6 linked regions of the Cricetulus griseus genome follow. The protein of the gene in region 3 purifies or fractionates together with the protein of the main gene of each other region. This does not show direct contact. Links are inferred from orthologs where the notes say so. Each region holds a gene or a part of one and is shown on either strand. Other genes may lie near its edges. The genes, in order: Csde1, Szrd1, Strap, Ddx20, Tgfbr1 and Snrnp70.

The links.
Region 1: the proteins of Strap (region 3) and Csde1 purify together in Homo sapiens (affinity purification with mass spectrometry; 3 studies listed by BioGRID and IntAct, counting the BioPlex papers as one, with this or other methods). This does not show direct contact. The link is inferred for Cricetulus griseus from reciprocal best matches to the Homo sapiens genes STRAP and CSDE1.
Region 2: the proteins of Strap (region 3) and Szrd1 purify together in Homo sapiens (co-immunoprecipitation; 3 studies listed by BioGRID and IntAct, counting the BioPlex papers as one, with this or other methods). This does not show direct contact. The link is inferred for Cricetulus griseus from reciprocal best matches to the Homo sapiens genes STRAP and SZRD1.
Region 4: the proteins of Strap (region 3) and Ddx20 purify together in Homo sapiens (affinity purification with mass spectrometry; 3 studies listed by BioGRID and IntAct, counting the BioPlex papers as one, with this or other methods). This does not show direct contact. The link is inferred for Cricetulus griseus from reciprocal best matches to the Homo sapiens genes STRAP and DDX20.
Region 5: the proteins of Strap (region 3) and Tgfbr1 purify together in Homo sapiens (affinity purification with western blotting; 3 studies listed by BioGRID and IntAct, with this or other methods). This does not show direct contact. The link is inferred for Cricetulus griseus from reciprocal best matches to the Homo sapiens genes STRAP and TGFBR1.
Region 6: the proteins of Strap (region 3) and Snrnp70 purify together in Homo sapiens (affinity purification with mass spectrometry; 3 studies listed by BioGRID and IntAct, with this or other methods). This does not show direct contact. The link is inferred for Cricetulus griseus from reciprocal best matches to the Homo sapiens genes STRAP and SNRNP70.

Annotation. Positions count from the first base shown.
Region 1 is NW_023276806.1:53,913,096-53,916,980, forward strand, and holds the end of Csde1 (cold shock domain-containing protein E1), read right to left. Parts: intron 3,736-3,885; coding exon 3,572-3,735; intron 2,715-3,571; coding exon 2,582-2,714; intron 2,233-2,581; coding exon 2,185-2,232; 3' UTR 946-2,184; downstream 1-945. Other genes in the region: GTPase NRas, read right to left, coding at 94-204. UniProt on the Homo sapiens protein: RNA-binding protein involved in translationally coupled mRNA turnover.
Region 2 is NC_048595.1:12,131,077-12,135,512, reverse strand, and holds part of Szrd1 (SUZ domain-containing protein 1), read right to left. Parts: intron 1,420-4,436; coding exon 1,317-1,419; 3' UTR 1-1,316.
Region 3 is NC_048601.1:11,296,352-11,301,264, forward strand, and holds the start of Strap (serine-threonine kinase receptor-associated protein), read right to left. Parts: upstream 3,131-4,913; 5' UTR 2,914-3,130; coding exon 2,802-2,913; intron 1,589-2,801; coding exon 1,453-1,588; intron 1-1,452. UniProt on the Homo sapiens protein: The SMN complex catalyzes the assembly of small nuclear ribonucleoproteins (snRNPs), the building blocks of the spliceosome, and thereby plays an important role in the splicing of cellular pre-mRNAs.
Region 4 is NW_023276806.1:51,319,005-51,324,228, reverse strand, and holds the start of Ddx20 (probable ATP-dependent RNA helicase DDX20), read right to left. Parts: upstream 3,410-5,224; 5' UTR 3,382-3,409; coding exon 3,081-3,381; intron 2,725-3,080; coding exon 2,630-2,724; intron 536-2,629; coding exon 367-535; intron 1-366.
Region 5 is NC_048595.1:96,063,053-96,068,125, forward strand, and holds the start of Tgfbr1 (TGF-beta receptor type-1), read right to left. Parts: upstream 3,304-5,073; 5' UTR 3,293-3,303; coding exon 3,061-3,292; intron 1-3,060. UniProt on the Homo sapiens protein: Transmembrane serine/threonine kinase forming with the TGF-beta type II serine/threonine kinase receptor, TGFBR2, the non-promiscuous receptor for the TGF-beta cytokines TGFB1, TGFB2 and TGFB3.
Region 6 is NC_048599.1:154,286,061-154,290,496, forward strand, and holds part of Snrnp70 (U1 small nuclear ribonucleoprotein 70 kDa), read right to left. Parts: intron 2,443-4,436; coding exon 2,341-2,442; intron 1-2,340. UniProt on the Homo sapiens protein: Component of the spliceosomal U1 snRNP, which is essential for recognition of the pre-mRNA 5' splice-site and the subsequent assembly of the spliceosome. SNRNP70 binds to the loop I region of U1-snRNA.

The sequences.
Region 1 (3,885 bases), on a different chromosome or scaffold from region 3:
TTTCTCTCCTCTTTAGTATCAAAAACCAGAAAGGATATATTCGTAAGAAAAAGCCAAAAGTGGGAGCCAGGCCAGGCAGTGGAAGGGCCTCACCTCTATGGTGGGATCATATTCATCCACAAAGTGGTTCTGGATTAACTGGATTGTCAAAGCACTTTTCCCAACACCACCTGCTCCAACCACCACCAGTTTGTACTCAGTCATTTCACACCAGCAAAAACCTGTAGGAAAGCAGCAATTACGATTAAACTGGCAAGGCAAACCTACAGTACTTCAAAGGCTTCTTTAATGAGTTACTAAAATCAGTTTCAAAGGCATTCATTCGATACACGTGGCCTTCCACTAAGTTCTCAAAAGTGATTCAAACACAAAAACAGTTGAGGTCAGTGCGGCCACGGCTTCTTGAAGACCCGCGTCTACTTTTTAATCGTACTCCGCCCCGCCCTCAACCTACAGGAAAGGAAGCCCCCGTCCTACTCGTCTTGCAAATCCAAGCTCTGGGGTTCACCTGGCACGACCTCTTCCCGAAACTCCCCTTTCCGGCTCCTAAGATCACCCCACCGCCCGCCGCAGGCAACCAGGGTCCCCCACCCAGGCCTTTGTCTCCAGCTCGCCGAGTCTCCGCGTCTTCCTGCACCCGCCAGGCATCCGCACGCCGCGGAGCCTGTCGCCACCCAGGGCAGAGCCTTACCTCAAGCTCCGCTGACCCCGCTTCGGGAGGTTCTTGGACCTCAACCTGCCAAACTGTTAGAGACCCCGAAACCGCCATGAACAGCCCCCACCCGGGAGCAGCACTTCCGGCCCCACCCGCTACGCAATCAGTAGGCGACCAGACGCCCGAGTCCCCGCCCCGGCCACGTGGGCCTGCGACTTAGGAGTCTTGCGGCTGGCCGCACCCAGTCCCTCCCCTCCCTCCCCGGTTTCAATAATGAAAGCGCTGGGTGCTTGTGTCTCAAAAATCAGTAAAACTTTATTCGCTTCCATTCTTTCGCCATTAACAGAAAAACGGAGAAAGCAAAAAATGTCTTGTGTTTACAAAGATAAATGGCCTCTTTACCCAGAGATCAAATACTCAAACGACAACGGGGAAGATGAAAGCGCCCTCCCCACAACCCCTGAGCTGACTCTTGTCATCTTTAGACAAAAAGCCTTCACTCACTCCACTTGCCAGAGACCCTGTTTGGGGCCAATTCAAGAGGGCAGAGAAATCAGGCCAATCCATTCCCGTGATACAAAGTTGAACAGAAGCTACACCAGGATCAAGTGCCTATATTCAACAGGACACTGGAACCAGGGGGCTATTTATAAAAAAAACAGGATTCATTTCAGGCACAACTTTTTTATTTTTTTTGTTTGTTTTGTTTTTAAATCAGTAAAAGAAACTGGGTCCTAGAAGCTGCAGTGATCTAAGCAGCAGCAATTTTGTGCATTCGTCTTTTGTTTAAATATGTTTAAATTATCACACTGCTGGCACACTTCATTTGCATGAAATTCTGCACCACACATACTAATTGTAGTAAAGTTATTTACCCCCATCCCAGGAAGAAAAAAAAAAAACCTATCTGGAAGATAATTTTCACTGAAATGTAATCAAACTCGTTAAGTGGATTGTGACAAGATTATAAATGATATGAAAATAACATTTTAACATTTGGCCATCAACTTAAGAAAATCGTTTGCTATATAAATTTTTGTAATTTTTTTTAAAGGTAATATATTCTACCTTCATATGGTCCTCAGAATTAAAGCATAATGAACAGGAAAGAAAAGGAAAAGAATGCGGCTGAGTGCTAAGTAATGAAGGTAGAGTATATACTGAATAGAGTGCAGAATTTCATAGGGCCAACAAGGTAACAGTCTGTATTGTTCATTTACACAGGCGAAGTGGAATTTGCAATTACCAGTTGCGTTAAATGCACCAAATAAAGCTCCTAAATTGATACTATAAGGCGCCACCTTAAGTTTCCCAGGCTGCAACTGTGCATAATTTTAAAATGGTTTCTTAAATTTATTTATTTTTTTTTTTTAAACATAACACGAGGAAGGTGTTAAAACTGGTGTAATAGCTCAATAGAATAAGTATTCCAGGTTTTGGGAGGGATGAAGAGAAAGATATTCAGAACCCTTCACCAGAATCCCCCCAACTTGACCATAGTGGATTAATGATGTGCTTTGTGGGTGTGATTAGTCAATGACACCAGCTTGACGGATCTTTCTTTCTGCACCAAATCCCTGTGAAGAAATAAAACAGTTAATGATTTGAGTGTATGACAATCACAATATGAAATTCTAAGAAACTATATTTTTAAATTATCATATCCACTACAAATTCTCTCCTAAGAGTAAGAACAAAGTAGACCTAGACCAAGAAGCATATCCTACGACAGGTAAAGCAAAGGCAGAGTGGGGAGTTCAAGGCCACTCTGATCTGCTATGTCCCTATCTTAAAAGGAATGGAAAAAGCTTCTTTCAGAAAATGTGTCCGGAAACCCTAACTAGTGATAAGCAATCCTTGCTTCATTAAGTTCTTTAAATTGAATATTATCAGTTGACCTCCCTCAAATCCCCAATGGAATCATACCATTGAGTTATCTGGTCCCCTTGGCTGACGAAGAACCATTAGACGAGGAGCACTGGCATCATCCAGGGAGATATTCTTCAAGCGATTGACCAATCGATCAGGTCGAGGAGCTGCAACAGCTTTGGGGCCTTCACTGTAAGTGTGAAAGTGAGAAAAACTGACAATTGCTGGGAAGAAGGCAATCAGTGAGTAGGTTTCCTACCCAAATGACTCACTTTTAATGAGAGGGACTCTTGCCTCAACTTAATTGGCTAGCAAGACAAGACAGACAAGTTTGGTTATAGATGCTTTTCTTAATTCAGATGCAATTGGATAGGTGTTGTGAAGAATTGTTTCAGTGAGACCCTAGACTTGTCTGCAGAGAGACTAATTCCACAGGTAACACATGGAAAACCTTTTAAGAAGTCTAACATGAACAGTTCTAGATTTCTATCTTTAAAGGAAACAATGTTGAGATTAAAAACCCTAATAGCATGAGTCATGATGACTAAGGTATAAAAATTAGACATTTAAGCAGCACAGGCCTGGAAATGACTAGACAAAAAAAAAAAAAAAAGAATAAGCTGAATTTCCTAAGAATTTAAGAATTATGTAACCTTTTAATATTGAAGACCAGCACATCCAGTGCTAATGCATAACAGCACCTAAGTGTGTCTCACAGCCTCAAGGTCAGATTAAAAAAAAAAAAAAAAAAAAAAAAAAAAAAAAAAAAACCTGGAGACAGAAAGAGAGATATGGGAGAAGGCACATGCCAGCAAGATCAAGGTCAGTCATAAATAATAAGGTGAGACCTGTCTGAAACCAGTGACTAGAGTCAAAGACAAAACCAGATAATGGCATAAGTGGAAAATAGTACCTAGTACCTAATAAACCCAAACAGACAAGAGTGGGAAAGGAAAGACATCTGGCAAAGCACAGATTATACAAATTAGGGGAATGAACTCAGGGCAATTACTAATCCAACCACAATAAACAAACAAACAAACTCACCAGACTCGCCAAACATTACAGGCACTGCATTTCCCAGTGCGCTGATTAAGAATCACTGAGAATTCCACCTCATCTCCTGCCTGTAACTCAATGCCATCCTGAACTTCTTTCACATGGAAAAAGAGCTTCTTGCTATCTCCTACTTCATAGTTAATAAAGCCAAACTAGAAAAAGAAAACACACACACAAAGTTTACAATGGAGAAAACATCCTGTCTTGAAAAACCAAAAACTACGTAAGTCAGGCATGGCAGTTTAAATCCCAGTACTCAAGAGGGTGAGGCAGGTAGATCTCTATGAATTTGAGGAGAACCT
Region 2 (4,436 bases), on a different chromosome or scaffold from region 3:
CCTCTCTCTCCCCACCAAGAGCCAAAGCAAATCTCCAGGCTCAGGGACAGAAATGGCCTGCATACCAGCCTCGTTCTGATAAGAAGGGAAAGGGCAGCAGAGGCCTCTGAGAAACCTATCAACCAGCTGCCTCAGCAATGCGAAGTTTTTCTTTTCCCAACTCTTCTCCAACTTTTCTACTCCTATGGTACTCATTTCACCCAGGAAACGTACCAGGTATAGTTTCTGAGCCAGGGCTATCAACAGATGTGGCACGCCACAGGTCCTTAAATGTTCTAGTCTGTCTACCTCTGACCACACCAGCAGAGGCCTGGAGTCCTGAGCCAGACTCCTCTGGGCTTGTGCTGACAGCAAACACTGGACAAGTGCCACCTCTGCCTGCTCTGAGCCCCGAGTATAGTCTCCTCCCCGACACTCCCTGCCCTACCCACCTCTAGAAGCAGCAAACCTGTCTGGTAGGGAGCCACCCTGAGGGGTATGGAAAGGGGAAATCTGTCACTTTCCCCATTTCCCACAATACTAGAGGTGGGGTTGGCACCCTCCCCCTGGCTCTCTGAGCTGTCTCTAGGCAACTTAGCTGGGACTTAGCTGGAGGAAGGCAATATAGGCACAGTGCTCATCTACTACTGGGGGCTCCAGAGCCCTGCCTTTTCTGGGCAGCAGTAGGAATACAGAAGCTAAGCTCACCAAAATCCTATTGGTTAATGTTTCTAGCAAATTTCCTAGAAACATCTTTAAGTGACTACCAAACTACCCTTTCTCAATTAAAAATTCATTAAACTGCTAAAACCCCTTCCATGCACTTTTTCTTGCAAATCAGATATTTGTATAAACAAACAAAAATAGGAAGAAAAAAAAGGAAAGGATATTTTCAATGGAACTTACTTTTAAGTGATGGCGACATGCACTTGGGGTGGGTGAGGGCAGTTCTCATTTGTGTTTTGAAATCCCAAATTAATGAGCATGATAAACTTATTGCTGGCACTGGCTTTACCCCAAGTAGCACTGTCTGACCCTCTACTCTGAGTCCTTGGTAGGTTCCCCCAATCCTCCCCTAATCCCCACCCTTTCCCTTTCTATTGACTTGGGACAGCCCTTGTCAACATGCCAATCACAGTGGGAAGGTGGGGAGGCAGAGGTCACAGTGCATGGGGTTCAAGGTCACAGTGGGCGGAGCAAGGGGGATCACAGTGCAAGTAAGTCAGGTCGTTCCCTCTGCTCAAGTCCAGATGTCTGCCACGGCAGTGCAACCCATGGCAGACAATCCAGGAGGCGATGGCGGCGGCGGCGGCAGCGGCATCCTTTCTTGCCTGCATTTATCTGCGTTGTTTGAAGCCTTGTGACCCATCAGGACCCAAAGGCTGTCTGATCACATTACTGGGCTGCCTGCTGTCTTCGGGTTGGGAGATCCTGGTTGGCCTAAAGGAAGATAAGAAAGAGGAAGGCCTTTAGGATATAAAAGATGCCCAAATCATTCTTTTGTACCTGTTTGAGTGTGGGGACGTGTGCATAGGTGTGTGTGTACTGCCAGAGACGTCAGGTGGCCTCTACTGCTCTCCACTTTATTTTCCAAGACAGGGTTTTACTGAATCTGGAATTCACCACCTGACTACGCTGGCTGGCCAATGAGCTTCAGGGATCCATCTAACTCCTCCACACCCCTCTGTCCCACACTGGGTGGGGTTACAGTCACTTGTAGCTTTGCTTGGCTTTTATTTATGTGGGTGCTGGGGAGTCGGGTCCTCATGCTTGTGCTGCAGCACTAATACCAACTGAGCCACATCTCAGCCTGAAGTCCCTGAACCTTAAAATCAACCCATGGCTGAGGTTGGGGTTTTACCAGCCAACTGGAGGTACTGAGCTGAGCCTACTTCTTTGGCAAGCAGATTAGGGACATTTTCCACTGTGGCAGCTCCCTGTGGGAAGGAGGTAGTGGTCCACAGTCTATGTTAACCTCTAGCAATTACAGCATTGCCCCCTCCCCCCGCCCCAACACCCTCTCATTTGCATTACTTATTTGTAAACAGAGGGAGTGTGTGTACCCCATCCCATGGAGGGAGGAGTAGCCATGGGCAGCACCTCTTGCACAGAACCACCAGTGTTGGGCCCCTAGCTACGCGCTTAGGAGCGAGCTGGCACCCACCTGTCTGCCTCCTGCTTCCCTCCAAACCACGAGGCTAGCTGCTGACTCCTAGTACTAGAGAAGACAGAAGGAAATGGACTTTTCCCACTCCAGACAGGTGCAGACTAAGAGGAGAAAACAGAATGGATGTTCCTTCAAAACAACGCAGCACTGGACATGGTGGCACATGCCTGTGACAGTGCCAGGGAGGCAGGAGGACCACCCTAAGTGCAAGGCTAGCTGGGCTACACTGAATTCTACGCTAGCATGTGAGAACCTGGTCTCAAAAAGCCAAAAGGCAAACCAAAACAGCACCAAGAAGGGACAGAAAAGGAACTCAACTGTCCAAGCCCAGAATAGCAAGTCAAAGATGGCTTCAGGGCGGAGGACTGGAGCCAAGTTCCGAGGCAGGCTGCCTGTCTAACAGTCTTGAGGCCAACAGTGCAGTCCCCAACACTGGGGAGAAAAGAAGGAACAACAGTCTGTGTGGTATGGCAGGCTGAAATCCTACCACTGGAGAGGCAGAGGCAGGAGAACTGCCAGCTAGCCTAAGCTACAGGGTGAAACTGTCAAAAGACAAAAGTTATGGGCTAGACATGTGTCATAGCATGTATGAAGTCCTAGATTTAATTCCATTTCTATGTAAACCAGGTGAGGTGGTACACGCCTGGAATCCCACCCAGCAGTCAGGAGGTAGAGACAGAAGGATCATCATTCAAGGTTATCCCATCTGTAGTAGTGACTTGGATGCTAGCCTTTGAGCTACACGAGACCCTGCCTCAAAAATAGGCTTTTGAGGGGGCTGGAGAGATGGCTCAGAAGTTAAGAGCACTGACTACTCTTCCAGAGGTCCAGAGTTCAATTCCCAGCAACCACATGGTGGCTCACAACCATCCGTTATGAGACCTGGTGCCCTCTTCTGGTGTGCAGATATACATGGAGGCAGAATGTTGTACACATAATAAATAAATAAAATCTTTAAAAAAAAAAATAGGCTTTTGTATGTTTATGTGTGCATGCTAACATCTGGTTGTTCCTCAATCTTCAACCATATTTTCTTTTTACAAAAATGTTAAATCTAGCATGAGCTCTAACTGGTCTTAATAATAAAAACCCAGAGTCAGATATTGGAGTTAATACTTAAGAGAAGCAAAACAGCCAGCCACTAGAGAATTCTTACTCCTACCAATGTTCAGACCAAAGGGGCCAACCTGTCTCAAATTGCATCCTCAGACTTACTTAGACTGCACTGCTCCTCAGACTGCAGTGAGCTGCTGTCTCCTCCTGCCTTATAGTCCTCTTCGCCCAGCCCTATCCCTTCCTGTCTTCACCTCCTAGTGCTGGTATTAAAGGCATGTGACTACAAGTGCTGGGATCACCTTTGTACGGGCTCTCTTTCTTTTTTAGACTGGTTCAATTTCATGTAGCCCAGGGTGGCCCTGAACTAACAGAGATCCATCTGCCTCTGTCTCATGAGTGCCGGGATTAAAGGTGTGCACCACCACTGCCTGGCCTCTGTGGCTAACTAGTGTGGCTAGCTTTGCACTCTGATCTTCAGGCAAGCTGTATTTGTTAGAACAAACAAAATATCACCACACTTACACTTACTGTGTGTATGTACATGAGTATACATGAGCAGCCCAAAGCCTGAGAACGGAGGTCAGAGGTCGACTTGCAGGGGCTGGTTCTCTCTCCACCCTGACAGTTCCAGGGACTGAACTCAGGCAGTTAGACTTGGCAGCAAGCGCCCTTACCCCCAGCTAAGCCACCTCAGAAGCCTGTGCCCAGCTTTGACGTGGGCACTGGAATCCAAACTCAGGTCACACATGCATGTGCTGGAGCGCTCTCCGGACTGAGCCATGTCTCCAACCTCCTAAGCAGGTTTTGTTTTGTTTAATTTTGGGCATTTATTTATTTTAAGACAGGGTTTCTCTGTATAGCTTTAGCTATCCTGGAACTCATTCTATAGACCAGGCTGGCCTTGAACTCACAGAGATCCATCTGCCTCTGCCTCCCTGTTACTGGGATTAAAGACGTGCACCACCACTACCCGGCTCCAAAAGCAGTTTTAACAAATACTATGTTATCAGAGAGTAACACACATAATTCAAATCTAAAATTAAAAAAAAAATGAAAATATCAAAATTTCAGCAAAAACTCACTTGGGGCTGCTGGAGACCCAGGTACTGGGCTTTTTTTTTTTTTTTTTTTCTGGGGTCCTGGGCAGAGCTCAGTACCTTATGGCCATTTGCTCACTGGTAAACACACACCCAATGGCTGACAGAGCCTGAGTCAAAGTCCATCCTCTCCGCTC
Region 3 (4,913 bases):
TCAGATTTATGTAACATCCTAACAGGGCAGTGCAAAGTTTCACAATGGCTATACACAATGCTGCCACAGCAATTGATTCCTCAAAGGCACAGCAAAGTCCGTGCAACATTACTTGTCTCTTAAAACTCCATTAATTTTTAAATTTACATACAGTAAGATTCACTGTGCTGTATAGAAAGGTCTGGAACTCAACAAGGGCATATGGTAATATGTTAAAAGCTGTGTTCATTTTTTTTAATTTAGTGTTTTAATTTGCTTAAATCAAAGGTGGCAACACAGTTTACAATTGCTCCTTAGTAAGAAATTCTTTTAAACAAGAAATCAACAGACCATTTCCACTCTCTAGCTCTTTGGGTCATCGAGGTGGCTCAGTAGACAAAAGATTCAAGCCTGACAGCTTGAACCTATACCCACGCCCCAAACTGTCTTCTGACCTCCACACACCCACCATGCACACTTGCACACCCACACATTTGCACAAGCAATAGCAAATAAAAAGGTGCCTTCATTGGTTTAAAAACAGGTGGCTACAAACACAGGTGTAGTAATATACAATAGAACACATGCCTGGAAAGAACACATACTCACTGTAAGTCAGTTTGATAATATACACAATACCCAAAGTAAAAACAGGTGAAGTGCATTGTGACAATGGTTTAGTACATCAAAGACTGTACCAAAAAGACAAAAGGAACTAGAATGAGGGGATTAATTAATGATTAGTGGTTCAAAGACTGCAGACATTACCTGAGTGAAAAAGACAGCACTTCATACCCAGACCAACCACACAGAACACATTTGAATAATATTTTTAAAGCTCTCCAGGTTACTCTCCTGTACACCCAAGGTGAAGAAGTAAAACTGTAAAGACCAAATCCTCAGAAGAGACATGATTTAATTGACTGATTGGCAGCAATACAACAGAAATAACAGGAAATCCCTAGCAGTGTGGAGCTAAGGTGAGCCTGAACTAAGGCCCTGGGCAAACACAAGAGACTACCAGTAGAATCAAAAATCGAATCAAAAATGAAGGTCTAAGGAAAGTCAAGCATCTTTCAGACTACAATCGAAAGCCATAGGAAACAATGTGTAAGTGTGAGGCCCAGTTTTACATGTATCCTGGTACTAAAAACTGACTGAAAAAGTATCTGGAGATAGCACACATAGCACTCAATTTAGAAACGTCTGTAAAGGGCCTCACCAACATCCATTATCCAGGCTACGTCAATAACCATAAAGATTTCTGGTCTCAACCAAAGGCATAGAGGCAAGTCATTTAAACCTTTCAAGTCTGGGGACTCAGTGATGACACTGGGCACAGACAGCCAGGACGGAATCCTGGTGAGATCAAACATACGTTGTTCTCCATGGCACCAGCTGAGTCAGAACTGAAGATTCTGGCCATGTCACCACACAATTGGGAACAGAGTTAGCCATCTGTGTTGCACTTACGCCGTGAAATCTGCGGCTGCTGTGGCAGCTTTGGTGGCATCCTTATTCAACGTTGCACCCCAAACAGCACCTTTATGACCCAAAAACGTTCCAATCCAGTCTCCTGTATCTCCCTGTCGGAGCATAGGTTTGCCATCTAGAAAACATTTTAAGACACGTGATTTAGAAGCTGGCAGCATAACATCAAATACTGAACAGCAATTGGAAAACCGCTGCTGACTGTTACCGCTTACTCTCATCAGGCGCTGAGGGTCCCCATCATGAAGCACTGATCTGTGCATCTGTGGTCTAGTGAACTAATGGATTCTGGTCACTCCTCTTGGGAAGTGTAAGTGATTTGGGGAATGGCTCAGAGGCCTCCCTCACCTTAGCAAACTCAAGAATTCAAAACACTTGTCTGGAGAGAGGACCCGATTCTGATTCCCAGTGCCCCACATGGAGGCCGACAACCCCTTCTGACTCCAGCTCTCTTCTAAACTGTTTGGGCAACCCTTCACACATGTACAAGGAAGCACACACACAACACACTTGCCCACATGAATAGAAAACTTAAAAAAAAAAAAAGCATAAGTCTGGAAGCCACTGACTTGTGTCAAAACAATCAAGATAGGCGTTCTGACTTTGAACCGACTTTAAACCTTGAGTGTATACTTTCCCCTGGGGGGGGGGGGGATGAGGCCCATACCACAAAGAATGATACAATGAGATGAGCGCGAAGACATAAAAAAAAAAGCACTCCTCTCGGCCTGGCCTCGTTTCTCCTTCCCAGTAAACCCTCGGGAGACGCCATGGAGTTCTGTGTGTTGACAGGCGCAGTCCCCCAAAGAGCAATAAAAACGGGAGGCGAGGGGGGCGGTGAAGGCCATCCCCTCTCTCTCCCTCTTCCTCTCTCTGTCTTTCCCTCTCCCCGTCTCTCTCCCCCTCCCCTCCCTGTCTCCCTCTCTCTCCCTCTCTCCTCTCCCTCTCTGTCTCTCTCCCTCTCCTCTGTCTCTCCCCTGTCTCTCTCCCCCTCTCTCACCCCCTTCCTCTCTTTCCCCGTTTCCTCTCTCCCTCTTTTTCTCCTTCCTCCTTCTCTCTATCTTTCCCTCTCTCTCTCCCCCTCCCTCCCTCCTTCTCCCTCTCTTTCTGTCTCTCTCTCATTCTCCCTCTCTCCCGTCTCTCTCTCCCCTTCCTTCCCTCTCCCTCTCTCTCCTCTCCCTCCCTCCCTCTCTCCCTCTCTCTCCTTCCTCCTCTCTCTCTCTCTCTCTCCTCCCTCTCTCCCTCTCTCTCTTTAGCTGGCAGGTACGATCCCCACCCGCACCCCCTCCCTCCGACAACCGAGGCCCGCGGCCGCGCCGGGCTCGGCTCACCCTTGCAAGCGCTGATCAGAAAGTAGCCGTAAGGCGTGATGCCGCTGAAGGCCAAATCCACCACGGGCCGCGTGTGGCCCGAGCAGGTGAGCGGCGTCTGCCTCATGGCCATGGCGGGGCGGCGGCGGCGGCGGCGGGGAGCCGGGCGAGGCCAAGCGCCGAGCGTGGGTCGCGGGCGGGTGTCCTTCTCCCCCGCACTCACACCGAGCTCGGCCGGGTCAGGAGTCCCCTCGACGCGCGGCCGCCGAGGGAGGACAGGGAGGGAGGGAGGAGGGGAGGGAGCGCCGGGGAGCCGGCCTGCCGCCACACCGTCCACACCGGTAGCGGCAGGAAGTGACGCCCGCCGCCGCGCCGCCGCGCGCCAGCGGAAGTGACGCGCGGCGGGGAGCGGAGTGCGCAGGGCGCGAGCCGCCGCGGACCGCGCGGCCCGTGGTGCTGACGTCACGCGGCCCGCGCTCCCCCGCGGTTGCCGGCGGCGCCGTCGCGGCCCGCGTTAGGCCGCCGTGTGAGCAGCTGGCAGCCTCTCCCGCTGCCCCTTCGGGATGCGCAGGATCCAAAGGTTGTTCCCGCGAGCGGCCACGTGTCCCGGAGCCGTGCCCCGCGCGGCCCACACCCTCCGGAGGACGACCGGGGAATCGAACTCGGGTCGTCAGGGTGGGCGACTAGGGCCTTCGCTCGCCAACCCCAATCTGCACTCTTCTTTATTCATGTCTGACTCAGCAACGTGTGTGTGTGTGAAATGCTTTGTTCGTGTATGATCAGCAAATACTGTGTCTGTCTTTTCTTGTATTTCCTGCACTTTGATTAAACGACGCTGTTACATAAGGCGGGGGAGGCTTGTCCCTTGGTTCTGTGCTTTTCCAAGCAGGGCACTGAATCAAGCAAGAGACGAGTTTAACCTGAAGTTTGTTTGGCAAAGCGAAGCAAGCGCGTGCACCCAAGAGAGTGGAGTGCGATGCCCTGGAGGAAGGATTGGGGAGTAGTCCTCAAGGATTGTGGATGTTACAGACTTTTTTTTTTTTTTATGAATACTTAGGAGGTGGGTAGCATTCTTGGGGGTAAGATGACCCACTTCCTCTCCCAAATCATGGAGAATCAGCTTTCCCTTTTCTGGTTATTCCTTCCATCGATCTGTGGACGAGGGTACAAACAGGTGGATCGAGAAACAAAGCCGTGTAAGCGACATTTTAATGAAGTAAGGATGAAGCAAGGGCCTTTGGAGCATGCCGGCCGCTGGGGAGACAGTGCTACCAACTTAAATCTAGCCGTCTACCCAGTAACAACCCCACTGCCATTCTCTCTCCACTACCGAACATCTGTCTCTGTCTCTGTGCACACACGCCACCACAACTCACACAGTCCTGAGTTCCTAAGTAAAACCGTTATGCCTTCCACATTTATGCCCTGATGTCAGACAAGTGACTGGCATTTTAGTGCACGGTCAGGAAATGGCTATTTACTAATGAGATGGATTGCTGAGTTTGATCCCCAACACCCCCACTAGGAAGAGAGACCTGTGTACTGTGTGATGCTTGAGTATCGTCCAGCACCGGATCATAAGATGAAAATGGGCCGAACCATCCCTGGGGCTTGCTCCATGATCAGTGAGTTCCAAGTACCAGTGAGAGATCCTGTCTCAAAAAGACAAGATGGGTGGATCTGGACCAATAGGTCATTCTTCAGTGACAGGTTCCTGAAAGGAAGGTCCAGGAGATCAAAAGACTGGAAACTTGGGGTCAGGAGGTACCTATGTCTTATGCCAAGCAAATTTATTTGTTTTGATTTTTCAACACCGGGTTTCTCTGTGAACATCCTGGCTGTCCTTGCACTCGCTCTGTAGGCCAGGCTGCCCTCAAACTCTCTGAGATCCACCTGCCTCTACTTCCCAAGTGTTGGGATTAAGGGTCTGTGCCACCACTGCCTGGCACCAAGCAAGTTTATTAAGAAGTTCACCGCCTTGCATACTGTTTTCAGAAGGGGACTGGGAAGTCAGGAAGGTGTGGAACAGAGTCAGCAGAAAGCGATCATACAATGGGACAAAGCAGGAAGTTGGGCAATGTCTCACAAAGGGAACACAGAGTGGTCCATGTGTGTCACAGACCAAGCACACAG
Region 4 (5,224 bases), on a different chromosome or scaffold from region 3:
TATGGAAAACAAGCACCACTGCTATCAAAAGACTCAAATGCTAAGGGATTGAATTCTAGATTCTAAGTGATTTATGAGCAAATTACCAGAAAGAACAACAGAAATCTCAACCCATGGCTTAGACAGGCTTCCTGAAAGTCAGGTCATTATTTCAGAAGCCTATCCCAAGTGAAATCCCAAACAAGCTTTAGAATGGAGACAAGCAGATTCTATTGATAATCCAGCCATGTGTTTCACTAGTCTAATGCTCTTCACTTCTAGTGAAAGTAATTAGCCCCATGATCAAAGACTCCCATTTACCTATAGTCGCATTCAGTGTTACATTTCACAAAGAACATCAGGTACCAACAGGTATTAGTAACTCACCTGGAGATCCAACAGCAATATGACACTTTTTAAGTCTGGTTTTGTCTTGAGATAATGGAGTCCCTCCAATAAAGACATGACATTCTAATCCTTCCATTTTTATTCCAATGGCTGTGATAACAGAATGTATCTGAACAGCAATTTCTCTTGTGGGAGCCAATATCAAAATCTAAAATAAATTATAAATATTACTTTAACAAGTCAGAAGAATACATATGAGTGATACATTCATTGCATGCTACACTACTTTTCATTGTAAGAGGAGTTTTAAAACAGGAGAAAATATTCCATTTATTCGGTTAATTATTAAGAACGTACTATATGGGAGAAAACATACAAGTTGTGAAAGAATTGCTCTCTTGGCACTTTTTGGTTATAACATAAACAAAAACATATACATGTAATAAAAAGTATTATTTAAAAAAAAAAATCAAATAGGGAAAAAAGAAAGACCTGACAAGGGAAATCATTTTAAATGATCAGAAAGCCCTTCCGAAGTGACGTTTTGGCATGCACCTATGATTCCGACACTCTAGAAGCAGAGATATGAGGATTGCCTCAAACTGAAGACTAGTCTATGTTGTAAGCTTCTGTCCAGCTAGAATTAGGTAGAGTGTGCCTGCTTCCAACAAACAAACAAAGAATTTTAAAAGTCCCATAAGAAAGTAACATTTGAGACATACAGCATAGAGCTAGTTGTGGAACACACCAGAAGCAGTGCTTCAGAAAAAGAAAAAGCAAATCCAAAGGCCTTAAGGTACACATAAGGAGCAGCAAAAAGGCCCAGGTACTAAGATTTTAAGAGGACTCTATCTCAGAGTTAACTCCCAGAGTTAGGTTCCAAAGGCCATGAGAGCCACACATAGTAAAAACTGCAGAACATACATATTGTCACTATAAGAAAATATTGCTTAAAAAAAAGACAAGGAAATAATAAAAATATATTTTTTTAAAAATCTCTTAACTCTGGGTACACATCACATATTTAGAGTTCTTTGGTACTTTGTTCTTTTCCCTGAAATTTCCCAACTTAAAACAATTATGTAGTGTTACTTTGATAAACACACACACACACACACACACACACACACACACACACACTTTAATAATATAAATACTTTAACAAAAAAAAGGGAATTTTACTTAGGTTTAGGATTTGGTATGCTGCCAAGTGTCACAAGCCAAACTCTCTCAAACACATCTTAATTTACAAATAGACTAGCCACTGTCCTTAAGTTATATTCAGTATCTGCCAGAATGTGGTGGATACAGAGCTCAAAAAGATTCCTAGACAACAAATACAAGGATCCCGGGTTAAAAAAAAAAAAAAAAAAAAAAAAAAAAAAAAAAAACCAACACTGTTCAAGATTCATCATCACAACAGACACTTCTTAACCTGAAATAAAGTTACTATACTACTACACTCCAGAAGATGGTGGGAGGACCACATCCAACTCATTGCTTAATCCCCAGTGCCTAGTGTAGTATTTGCATGTATTACTAACTGAACAAATCTTTTTGAAGAATTATCTCCCAAACCCATATTTCCTACTAGTTTGAGTAGGACAATCTTCAAACTATTCCAAGGCAACCTAAAATTAAGAGGATCTCTGTGAATTCGAGCCCAGCCTAATATACAAAGCAAGTTCCAGGACAACCAAGGTTACACAGAGAAACCCTTTGGGGGTGAGGGGGGATACAACCAAAAAAACCACAACCATATTAAGTTCTGCCATAGCGTATTATATAAACCAAAACTTTTAAGTTTATTTCTAACCCCAATCTAGTAAGTAAAAGTTTTTTTAAAAAAATTTTTTTAAGATTTATTTATTTATTATGTATACAGCGTTCTGCCTGCAGGCCAGAAGAGGACAGGAGATCTCATTACAGACTGTTGTGTGCCACCATGTGGTTGCTGGGAATTGAACTCAGGACCTCTGGAAGGAGCAGTCACTGCTCTTCATCACTGAGCCATCTCTCCAGCCCAAGAAAAAGTTTCTTAATTGCATAATGATTTTAAGTAACACATATTCAAAATGTAATTATAGAAGACTCCAAATTTAAAAAAAAAACTTAATAATGATATTCTCGGCCACAACTCAACGACCTTACCATCTATGTAGTTTACTTCTGTAATTTTCCTACGGTTTCACATTCTCCGATTCATCAAACACACCATCTGTGAGGAGTCAGTAGTTTTTCATAAGTCTAGCTAGAGGCCACGTGCTACACACCCCCCGTCTGGATCCTCTGAGTTACTCACCTGAGTACTGTAGTTTTCAAGAAGAAGGGAGTCTAGAGCAATGGTGGAGAATACACAAGTTTTCCCAGTGCCAGACTTAGCTTGAACAATTAAATCTGAGAAAGAAAGAAAGAAAAAAAGAAAAGAAAAAAAGAATAGGTATCATTAGCAAGACTCGCTGAAGCAACTAGATACCAATATAGGACCAGGGAACGGCCGGATTCTCTCCTAAGACCACCTAACTGTCACCTATATTTTTAGTTGACCCTGAAGCGCGCGCGAGGCGTGCATCAACCACGGAGACATTTCTCCAGCCCCTTAGTCCCCGAATCTCTACCGCTGCTCGTCTCCAGCTTGGACCCGGCGCCTTCCGATCCAATTGCGCGCCTCGAGCACTGCCGAGCCCCGCAAAGGCGCGGAGCCGGAGCTCTCCGGGGCCAGGCCCCCGCCCGCGGCCGGCCCCGGTCCTCACCGAGCCCGCAGCGCCCCAGCGGGATGGCCTTCAGCTGCACGGGAGACGGCCTCTCAAAGCCGGCCGCCCGCAGCCCCTCCAGCACCGGCCGCGACAGCAGCAGCGACTCGAAATCCGCGGGCTCCGCCAGCACCACGTCCCCGGTACGCGTCCGCGGCCCGCCGATGTCGTGAGCGGTCCGCAGGCTCCACGGGGAGCTGGGAGTCGGCTCCGCGGCCGGGGACCGCACGGCCGCGCGCTCCGCCGCCATAGCGGACTCCGCGGTTGTCAAGGCCGCCGGGGCTTCAAATGCCGCCGCCATGGTAGCCGCGCCTCGAGATCTCGCGATATTTGGAGTCGAGGCGGGGCTCCTGGGAGCGAGAAGAGGAAAAAACTTTATTGTCAGTCTCTCGGTGAAGACACGGACGCACCCGGCCTGGAAGTGGAGGAAACGAACGGAAGTCGGAGGCTGGCGCTCTGGGGACGGACAAAAATGTAGCCTGAGGAAGAGGCGGGAGGAGCGAGGAAGATGAGGCTACCAGTGCTGCCGCCGGCGGCCTGCAGAGGGCGTCGCGTGCCCGCGGTGGGCGCCGCCCGCCTCCCGCGGCTCTGACGGACGGGCCGCGCGGCGCTGCTCCGGAACCCGGCGCTCGCGGCGCGCTTTGTGACGCAGCCAGAGCGTCAGGCTCGGCCGCCGCTGGGCTCCGCTGCCCCGGTCTAGCTTGACTGAGGCCGCGCCGAAGTCTTCGTCCTCCGCACTTTTCCCCGCTGCTCCTCAGTGCTCGCAGACAGCGCCCCGGAACACAGCAAAACGGGGTTCCCTGCCCTCGGAGAGCCCTGTCACGTCGGCGCCCCAGCCCCTTAGCACAGTGCGGGAGACTGACTGGACCGCCAACTCCCAGGCTCTGCGTGGGCGCTCTCTCGAATCTCCAGGCTAATAGAGCTCTCCGGTTCAACTCATTTTGTCTGCCCTTCCTTCCGATCTCGGGTGGGCAACTAGCACACCACTTCCCCTTCCTCTGGACCCGCTCACATGTCACCTTGTTGTAAGAGGTCTTTCTTGAAATCTTTAGTCACCCCCGTCCTGCCTGCTCCCTGGCCTTTCCCGTTATTCTCACCACTTGTTTGATTTTTGGTTTGATTAGCTTGGTTGGCTTTTTCTTTTTCTTTCTTTCTTTTTCTTTCTTTCTTTCTTTCTTTCTCTTTCTTTCTTTTCCTTTCTTTCTTTCTTTCTTTCTTTCTTTCTTTCTTTCTTTTTCGACAAAGTCTCCCTATGCAGCTCAGACTGGCCTCCTGCCTCGACTTCCCAAATACTGAGATGACAGGTGTGTGCCTTATCACCCCTGGTCACTCTTCATGAATGTTTATTGTCTCCCTCACTTCCCCCGAAGGCAGGAAACTATTCTGACTTGTTCTCTTCTGCCACTAGGAGGAAAAACAAAAATCTGACACATTGAACGCTATTTTCCTCTCACACACACCTGCAGAGTCTTTCTCCTAGCTGAGTATTACTCTCAAGTTGACAAGACCTATGACAAACCTCATTTGTCCCTACGTATAATTCTGGTCTTGTTTCCCATATCCCAATTGTGTAGAAATATCTTTGGCAAGGAAATTTCACTAGAAGTGGGAGCTGGAGATGGATTCTGTTTGCTTACTGATTTACAAAATACTCAGCAAGCACCCACTAGCCATGTGAAGGAAGAGGAACTAATAAGGTCCCTCTTAGCTGCTCACGTATTTCATCCACTCTTTGCCCTCACCCTCTTTCTGACAATTTACTGGCAGATGATGTCTCCAAATATCTCCCTCACTCCTTTTCAATATAGTATCTACTCATGGTCTTTTGGTCACTCTAACTATTGAACCCTTCCCTATTGGCCTCCCAGTCCAGATTCTTCTCTGCCCAGGCCATGCACCACAGAGGCATTGAAATGACTTCCTTTGTCTGCTTTTCTCTTTCCTATGGGTTGAAACAACTTTGGCATACTAAGCAAACACTTTACTATTTAAGCACATTCCCCGTCAGAGAGTGACTCATTCCTCACTTCTTCCTTCCTCTCTTAGTTTCTTTTCCTGTTACTGTGACAAAATACTTTGACAAAAGCAACTTAAGGGGAAGGGGTTTGGTTTTGTTTTTCTGGACCACAGTTCAAGGTACAGTC
Region 5 (5,073 bases), on a different chromosome or scaffold from region 3:
AGAAACACTACAGAAAAAGTAGATTTAGGGGGTAACCGGCAGGACTCAGCTGTTAGGAATGTTTTCCAAGGAAGTCATGAAATGGCAGGCAACAAACAGCATTTTAACATGTGATGCAGCTATAAACAGTAATACTGTGTACCAGGGACAAGGAACCAATTTCCCTACAAAAATATGTATTGGAGAAAACAGAAGCTGGCAGTGAAATATAAATCATACTCAGACAGTAAAGAGCACTTCCAGTTTTAAGAGAAGCTAAATTATAAAGGCATGTGAGCTTCTTCTGAATATATAAAAGGATACACTGAAACATCAACCTAACTTATCTAGGCCACAGCTTCCTCCTTTTAGGGCGAGTGGGGGTTCGAGATAAGGTCTGTATAATTTGTAACTCTGGCTGTCCTAGAACTTACTATGTAGACCAGGCTGTCCTCAAAGTCACAGAGATCTCTTTGCCTCTGCCTCTCAAGTGCTGAGATTAAAGGTGTGGACCACTATGCCAGGTTGGCCATAGCTTCTTGCTTCTTAAACGGAGTCATAACTGCATATAGAGGTGGGGGGGGGGTCACAACAACTCTGGCAACAATAAAGGGCTTCTGAATACACAACACCCAAAAGTAAGTCAAAATCAAATGAGCAATGACTCTGAGATGTTTCTGGAGGTGCATGTTTGTGTTGCATGATGCAACTTCACTGCAGCCTTAGTTCTGAACACACATGTTGTCATGCTATGCAATGCCAACAGAGTCTGGACTATTATTTTATGAGGCTTTAAAAAATATTTGTACTTATGTGCATTGGTGTTGTGACTGCATGTATATCTGCATGAGTGTGTCAGGTACTCTGGAACAGGAGTTACAGACAGTTGTTAGCTGCCAAGTGGGTGTTGGGAATTGAACCCAAGTTCTCTGGAAGAGCAGTCAGAAGGTGCTCTTAACCACTGAGCCATCTCTCCAGCCCCTATTTTACGAATTTTAATGTTTTTATTGTACATACAAAATTTTCTACTTTTTCAGAAACTTGATTAACTACAAAAGACTTTCATTCCCCATGTGTATCAAAGGGGTGTATCCTTAATTGTATTGAGTTAGAATGTTTGATTTGAAAAACTGTTTAAGTTGTTAAGTTTCATTTTAAAAACTGTTAAAATAATTTCATCTGGTGATTAAGACACAACAATTTCTGAAATGGCTCTAAACATATGCAATTATGTGAGGTGGCATTGGATGATTTAATTCTCTATGTAAAAATAAACTCACCCACTTCATTACAATGAGAATTTGCTTTAATCTCTAATAAACAGTAGTAAACTGTATGTGCCAATGAATTATTTTTAAAATAATTTTATTTATGATCTATTATCAGTATGTTTGACTTATATACCTGCTTTCTACATCTATATATTCAAGGTTACATACAATTTCTTGAGAAATGAGGGTAGCAAATGGGAAAAGTTTATTAAGTGTTAGTGTAGGCTTTGAGTAATAAAAGCATCTAGGCCAGTTTTGTACTACACAATTGCCTAAGTAGGAGATAAACTCCTCCAGGGCATGGACCAACCTTCTCAGCATCCAAATCAATACTGCTAAATATATGAATGTGTCCTGCTTTGTCCTAGGTAGAAAAGAATGAATTACTTTAGTCAAATAACTGTGTAGAATAATGGCCACTTAAATTTGATGCATAATTATAACGATTCTCCCACTTTGCCCACAGTTATCTTCCTTCCTAAGCCAATGTTAAAACCCACTGTATACTATGTGAATGGGTCAAGTAAATAAAGAAAGACACCTAAGTTGTAAGAATTAAATATCAACTGTTCTTTACCTGGGCTATGCTACTTTGGTGTAGCAGGTGCCCCGATTTTGAACTCTGAAAGACCTAAACACAAATCCTAACTTCTACACTTAGTAAGACGTTAAATCTCTTGCACCTTAGTTTTCATGTCAATATACAGATAGCCCTGATAGTTAAGTTACAGGTCTCAGATACTGTACTATGGTGTACCTTTTGTATATGCATTAAAATCGACTCCTAATAAGTAATGACTATCAAGTTTAATAATAGCCGGCACCCACAGTCCTGAGGGACTTTTTTCGGCTTTTGCTTTTTAAAAAATTTTGTTATCCAATTTCAGCAACAGAAATGCATTTTCACTGCATTTTCGTTGCTAATGCTGAGCCTCGGTATTTTGTTTTCTCCTGTTTTAATTTGGTTACTAACAAAGAGTAAAGTTTTTCACTCTTCCCTCCACGGGGTGACACAACACCTTCCCCCCCCCCAAACCCAGCTACAGATGTCTGATCTAAAACTACCTTCACTTAAGGAAACGATATATCCAAAACAACGATTCCTTCGAGAAAATGAAGCATTCGGCCATTTCTACAGGATCAATCCCATTAAAACGTTCCCAAACCTGGAGTGAACAAACGTTCAAGTTTCTACAACCAAGACAACCCGGAGCCTTCTGATTACTGGACTCTGAACTATTCCTAGACGCAGGAAAGGAGAACATTCCGCGCATCTTCGCGCCTGCTTCTCACACAAAGCCCCCGGTGGAAGAAGAGTCTCCCTTGGCGGGTGCCGACACTCACGACAGAACCGCCCAACCGGGGTCTCAGCCCCCGGCGCCCCTTACGACCCCCGGGGGAGCCCTCCACGCTCCGAGCCCCCGAGCGCCTCCACTCCGGTGCCCGCCCACGCCCCAGCAGCCCCAGGCCCCGGCGCACTTGGGAAGGGCCACCGGGGCCACCGTCCCGGCCAGCCTTGCGCCCCTAAGGGCAGCCCCCGACCTCCGCAGGCTAGCCCGTCGCTGCCCCCGGGGAGCCTAAGAGGGCCGGCCTCCCGGCGCTCGGCCACCCGCGCCTGACACCGCCCCCGCCCGCCTCTCCTCCCCGCCTCGGCTCGCGTGGCCCTGCCGGGTCAGGAAAGCCCGGGCCGGCCGGCGCCGCCACCTGCGCCCCCGGCCCCGCGCCATGTTTGAGAAAGAGCAGAAGCCAGCCAGAGGCCGGGCCCGGCCCGCGCGCCCCGCAGCCGCCCGCCCGCCCGCCTGCCGCTCACCCTTCGTCCCCGGTAGCAGCGTCGCCGCCGCCGCCACCAACAAGATGAGAAGCAGCCGGCGACGCGGAGCAGCAGCCGCCGCCTCCATGGTCCCGCCGCCACCGTTTGTGGCCCGGCCCGGCCCCGGCCGCAGCTTCTCCTCAGCAAGCCTCGCCTCGCCTCGCCCCACCTCCCCGCCGCCGCCGCGGCCTCGCTCCGGCCCTTTGTAACTGCTCGAGGGACGCGCGCCCATTGGCTGGCCGGCTCCCGCCGACCCCGCCTCCCCGCCGCCCGAGAGCGCCCTAGAGGGACCCAGTCGACAGCCCCGCCCGCGGGGCCTCTGGGTGGCCAATAAGCGGCCGCCGGCTTCTGCCTCTGACCACGCCTCCGCACTGCTGGGCCTCTGACCACGCCCCCGCACAGCTGGGAGCCCCTACTCCAGCCACAGCGGGGCGACTCGCGGTCTACCGGCGGGTGGGGGCAGGGTCCAGCCAGCGCGCGAGACGGAGCCCGCAAGTCCCGGCTAAGCGCAGAGTGTGCCTGTGCGAGTTGCTCAGGGAAAGACTGTGACCGTTGCTCGCTCTTTTCTTCTACCCCAACCCCACCCTGACTTCCCCTGCACCACCCTACACAGCAAAGCCCAACTCTCGACACTCAGTCCTTCAGTACCGTCCGCAGTTCAACTTCCCTTCCCTAGACTCACACCTCAACTTCCAGCCTCCCCGAAAGATAACCTGATTTCTTCCTGCTCTCTACGTCCGCCCCAGACCTTGTCGCCCCCTCCTCAAATTCCAGTCCCAAAGTCGGATCCCAGATTCGGATACCCAAGGTGGAGCTCAGACACACCCCCGATTGGCCTTCTGCCTCTCAGCAGCATAACAGACCCAGACCGGGGATCCCAGCCGCCCTCCTTCCCTCCCACCCTTCCTGACCCCGCAGGGAAGCCGAGAGTCCCACGGGTTTCGAAGGAGGGGGGATTGCCCTGCCGAGCATCCCGCCCCGGGGCGAAGCGGGAGCAGTCGAAGGTACTTTGAGCTGTCTCCGACACGCCTGTGTAATAATTTCGAGGTGTCACTAAAAACCCAAATAAACTCAGCTCCGCTTTCATTCTGAATTCCTAATTTACTGTGAGACGCTCCACCCACCTTCCCTCTGGGACGCCAAAATGAGCTCCAGATTTGTAATTCTTCCTGTCAGACTAGTCCTTTCTTCAGACACAAACACAGCCACGGAGGCGGCCGCATGGCACCGGCAGCATTTTTCCGCAGAACCTTTTAAGGAGAAAATTTTATTTTCTGTGTGATTTGAACTCGTAATTAAATAAAGCTCGGTAGTAGGAATCAGCCGGCCTTTGGTATCGATTGGTAAATTGCTTTAGAGTCACTCTCCAAGAGTTTGATCCTGCTATGAAGGGAAACCGTGGGGGTTAGAGATGGGGTCTGAGACTCCTCCTTGGCTGCAGCTGGGGCATGCTTGAGCAAGTCCTCCACCTGCCAGAGCCTGAACAGGCTGGCTCTCAGGGCCTGCTCTCTGGGGCTCCAGAATCATCAGCCCCCAGCTTGCCCGGCTCAAGTGCAGTGAGGCAGCAAAGACTGGTCAACTTCAAATGCAATAGGCTCTGGGAGGCTTAGAGGGCCTTGGCACACCCGAAATCTCCAGTGCCTGCCCCCACCTCACTCCCACCCCAAAGACCTATGCAAGTACCCTACAAATAAGGGATATAGCTGGGGGATGTGGCTTATTTGTAGAATGTATGTGTGTGTGCCTGCAAGGATGCACCCTGTTAAGGTGTTCCTAGAGTACAGAAGAGGGCCTCTGATCCCTTGGAAATGGAGTTACAGGCAGTTATGAGCTGCCTGACAAAGGTGCTGAACCCCTTTCTCTGCAAGAGCAGCAATGCTCTAAACCACTCACCTATTGCTCCACCACCCTGTACCCTTGGTTTTTAAAGACAGGATCGCACTATGTACATCAGGCTAGACTGGAACTTGGAATCTTCCTGCCTCAGCCACTTCCCCGATCCTATCACAGACA
Region 6 (4,436 bases), on a different chromosome or scaffold from region 3:
GAACACAAGGTCAGTGGGAACAGAGTACAAATGACAAATTTGAGAGGGGCTCCTAAGTAGCTGACAAAAACCAGGTACCTCTTCTGGCAGCAATGAGCACAATCCCATGCCAATCATTTCCATGTCCTCTTGTCACAGAATAACCTATTTTCATGCCAAGGTGCTAGAGCTCAAAGACATCCTAACAAGAACCTTCATGCCTCCCAAGATAATCTACCTCACCTGAGACCTGAGACTCCAGACTAGCACACTAGCAACTTGCACTTTTGTGCACAAAGTCAAAAGTGTGAACCCATAGGAAAGTGGAAAGAAGCTGGGCATGGTGTTACACCCCTTCAATCCCATACTTGGGAAGACAGGGTCAGGTTTATCTTGAGCATGAGGCCAGCCTGGTCTACACAATGAGCTCTACACCAGCCAAGGCTACAAAGTGAGACCTTGAAAAAGGAGAAAATAGAAAAAGGAGACCTGCCACACCCCGCTTCCCAGGGGACCCTTCATTTTCAGCCTCCTTAGCTGCCCTGCTCCCCACAACAGGCATAAACCTTATCTTCCTTCAAGTAAGCATGCTCTCCTTGTCTTTACCTTCTACTTCCCTGTCAGTCTCAAAGCACCAACGCAGATCCTGCTCTCATCAACATACCATGCTACTCCACTAAACTGTCATAGGCTGCCAGCGCCTGTCAGGCGGGTTTTTCAAGCCCACCAACTGTGCAAGGTAACCACAACTTCACCCCTTCAGATTTTGATGTGCCACAAAAAGAGGGACTTTGCTGAATTTGCACAGATTTAATGCCTGGTCTAGAAAGGTGGTATGTACCTGACCACCAATGAGCCACTTGCTCCCAGTGACTTGGCAAGGAAGGCCAAGTTTCTAGCTGAGAAACCCACATGTCTGTGGTCTCCTGCACCAGCCACCTGAAGAGGGTCCAGAGAGGTGAGAGTGTGCTTCACACAAGACAGAGGTCAGTCACATGTTAGGCTGTTAAACTAGGATAGGTAACAGGCTGGACTACTACAAAGCAGGACCCAGACTTCCAGCTTAACAATGGGCTAGGCCATCAAACAAGAGGATGTCAACAGCATCTTTAAAAAGAAACCCTCTCTTCACAGATGAGGCAAGCTCCTACCCTCTACCACTCTAGTTCAAAAGCAACAGAACCAGTAAGGCCAGAGACTGAAACCTCAGAAACCAAGCGAAACAATTCTTTAAAAATAAACAGCCAGGCATGTAATTTCAACACTCAACAGGGCAAGGCAGGAGAAATCACCATGTGCTAGAGGCTACCCTGGGCTTCACGTTGAGACCCTTTCTCAGAACTACACTCAAGTAATAAAAAATGCTTCTACACACTTTATATGGAAAAGTACTGCAAAAGCTTCACAAAGGTTACATGTGTGCCTGTGTGAGTGAACCCATACTATCACATTATCAGCAAGTCTGTACACCAGGACAACTGGTTTGTTGCTGAGATTTCAGGAATCTCCCAGCACAAACCTCAAGTACTCATTCTTTTTCTAAGAACTGGAGGCCCCTGGGGGTTGGGGTGCTAGGTCAACTCAGCAAAGCCAGGTAATGCTGCCCAAGACAGACTCCTGGCACACAAGACTTGCATCCCAGGCATAGCCTAATACTAAGCTATTAGATGGGCAAATAGCACAGAGAATGACACTTGTCCACAATCTCTCAACATCCAGCCTCAAAGTCCTCTTGGTGAGGATCCATAAGTCCATGGGCTTAGGACTGAGACAAGAGTCCTGCATCAGTAGGTCCCTCGTTTCCTTATGCTTCAAAACCCTCATATGTATTTCCAGACCTGCCACAGTAACAACCCCGACGGAGATAGCCAATAACAACTATAAAGGGAGTGAGTAAGGAAACAGATGAAAGGTCAGAGCACACATAGGCTGCTGTTCTCTTGCTCCAGATGTAAAGGTAGAAACTGGGCTAGTGACTCAGACAGTGAGTGAATGAAGAAACCATTCAATGAGAGGAGGCTCAAAGCTGGAGCCAGTGACATCTCCAACCTGGCCTAAGATAGACAGCAAGTACACTAGGTGTTAGGTGGCTGAGGGCAGTGCTGAAGTTACTGCCAATGCAGAAACAAGAGCTGCTGCTGGTCACTCACTCAGGAAAGACCAGGGTAGGCTTGGATGCTCATGTGTAGGTGTTTGTGTATCCCTCAACACTCATGTGTAGGTGTTTGTGTCTAAGCCATGAAGAGCATGAGAGAAGACAAGCTGGAAACAGAGGGGAACAGGCAGCATATGAGTTGGGGAAACTGAAGGCAAAATGATCCACAAACAAGCCCCGGTACCTGGAAGGCAAAATGTACTCACCTAGCCGCCGGGGCCTCCAGCCCTTCACAGTCCGGCCCCTCTCCACATCCACAAGGACCCTCCTGCCATCTATCTTCTTGCCATCTGCGTGCTTGTAAGCGGCTGCAACAGATGTGGGGAAGGGGGGATTCCCCAGAAGGTGCTCTAGTCAGACAAGGATCCATGCAACAGCATCCCTGCCCCTCAAACCCCATCTGCACACATACACTCACACACCCACCAGTCAGCCAGGCAACCAACAGCCAGACAGCCCTCGTCTCACCCCCCCCCCCGCCCGAAGGGCCTGCTCCATCCAGTCCCTGATTCCTCTGTGGCACCCCCAATTGCCATTGGGGGGCAAAACATTCACCCTGGCCACCCCCAGCTCCCATATGATGGAGCAGCCCCCTCATGCCAGGGTGGCCAAAGTTGCTGCAAAGAAACTGGAGGTTAGCTGAATGCTGGCCTCTGCTGTGGGGAGGGCTCCTCCACACCCAGGCATGCACCCTGGACACCATGCTGGGCAGGAGGCTGGCTAGGCCCCTCCACACCCAGGCATGCACCCTAGACACCATGCTGAGGCAGGAGGCCCACTGGGCCCCTCCACACCCAGGCCACACCAGTTTTCTTTTTCTGTGTTTTCATAGGGAGGTCAGTGCGAGGAAACAGACATCAGAACAGAAATGAACAGGAGTGGAGACTTTAAGGAACTGGCAGGGATAGATAGAGGTGGGTGCTGAGCTCCCCAGGGGCCTCCAAGGACCCTGGCTGGGCCCAGAGGTACAAGTGCCGTGCTACTCAAAATCCCTGCCTTACCTGAGCAGACTGACCCTGCCACCACCTAGCCTGGTCAGCTCTGTCCTCCAGGCCAAGCTCAATGGCCAGCAGGGCACACAGCCCAGCCTTAGCCCTCAGGGAAGTTGAGGAGCATAGGACAGAGTGGGGAGGCCCAGCCTTCAGGCCTGTGATCAGGCAGGGATGTTAAAAAGTCCCTGTCCAGGTCCCAGCCCTGGCCTAAGGGACTGTGCTCACCAACCACAATACCCTGCCCCACCCCTGCCCGCTCCCCCCCAATAAAAACCAGAGGAAGAGAAAAAGGTGCCATTTACCGATGCCGGCCTTGCGGGTGTCCAAACCGAGCGGGATGGGGGGGGCTCGGCAACTCCTGGGGGCCTGGTGAGGAGGCGGGCTTCCCGGGGGATGGGGGTGGGACACGGGACTGCTTACCTGGAGACCCCAAGCTTACCTGAGCACTCACACAGACCCCCACACCCACCACCATTGGGGTAGCTAAAGCTACAGGGTAGGTAGCCAGGTCTTGGGAGAGGGAGAGTCTACATTTCCCATATCACCTAGAGACAGGTGGATGAAGGAAGTAAAGGGGCCTCAGAGCCTCACAGAGGAATGAGTTGAGCCTGGGCTTGGTCTATCCTGTTTGACCTTAAACATCAGGCCCCAAGGCCTCAAAGCACCTGCAGCCTCACCACTCCCTGAAAAGTCATGCTCCACTAGTCACAGGCCCAACACTCAGTACAGGGGTCGGGCTTTTCCACCTCCAATTCCATATGCCCGCCCACTAGTGGCAGCAGCTGAGACTGGCACACAAGGGAGACACCTGGGATCCAGGAAATAGGATGCTTCCCATGCTCCAGGAGGGGCCGATTGGCCCCCAATCCCAGAGCAGAGTGACAGGGAAGGGAACTTGAGAACTGAGGTCAGTCAAGTACAGGAACCCTGCTCAGGTTCCCCATCCCAAACCCCAGGAGAGGCCCAACCCGAGAACAGCAACAAGACCATGTGATTGTGTCAGTCTAGGCTTCTCTCTCTTTCCCTCTCTTCCGCCTCAGTATATGTTTAATAAAAACTACCACACCTTCAGTTGTTTGAAGCCTTTTCCACCCCTCCCATAACCCAAACCCAAATCCATGCACTCTGGGGAGCTCAGGCACTGAGCATCAGTTGCCTTCTCAAGAGGCTCCCACCATGCCAAGGAAGATAGAAGGGACACAGTATTCCAACCTAAAAGCCAGTTTCTCCAAGACCACTATGGTGACAACCCCACAGAAGTCATAGGGAGCGAGGGTCAAGCTGAAGGGCTCCATATAGAGCCCTTGCCC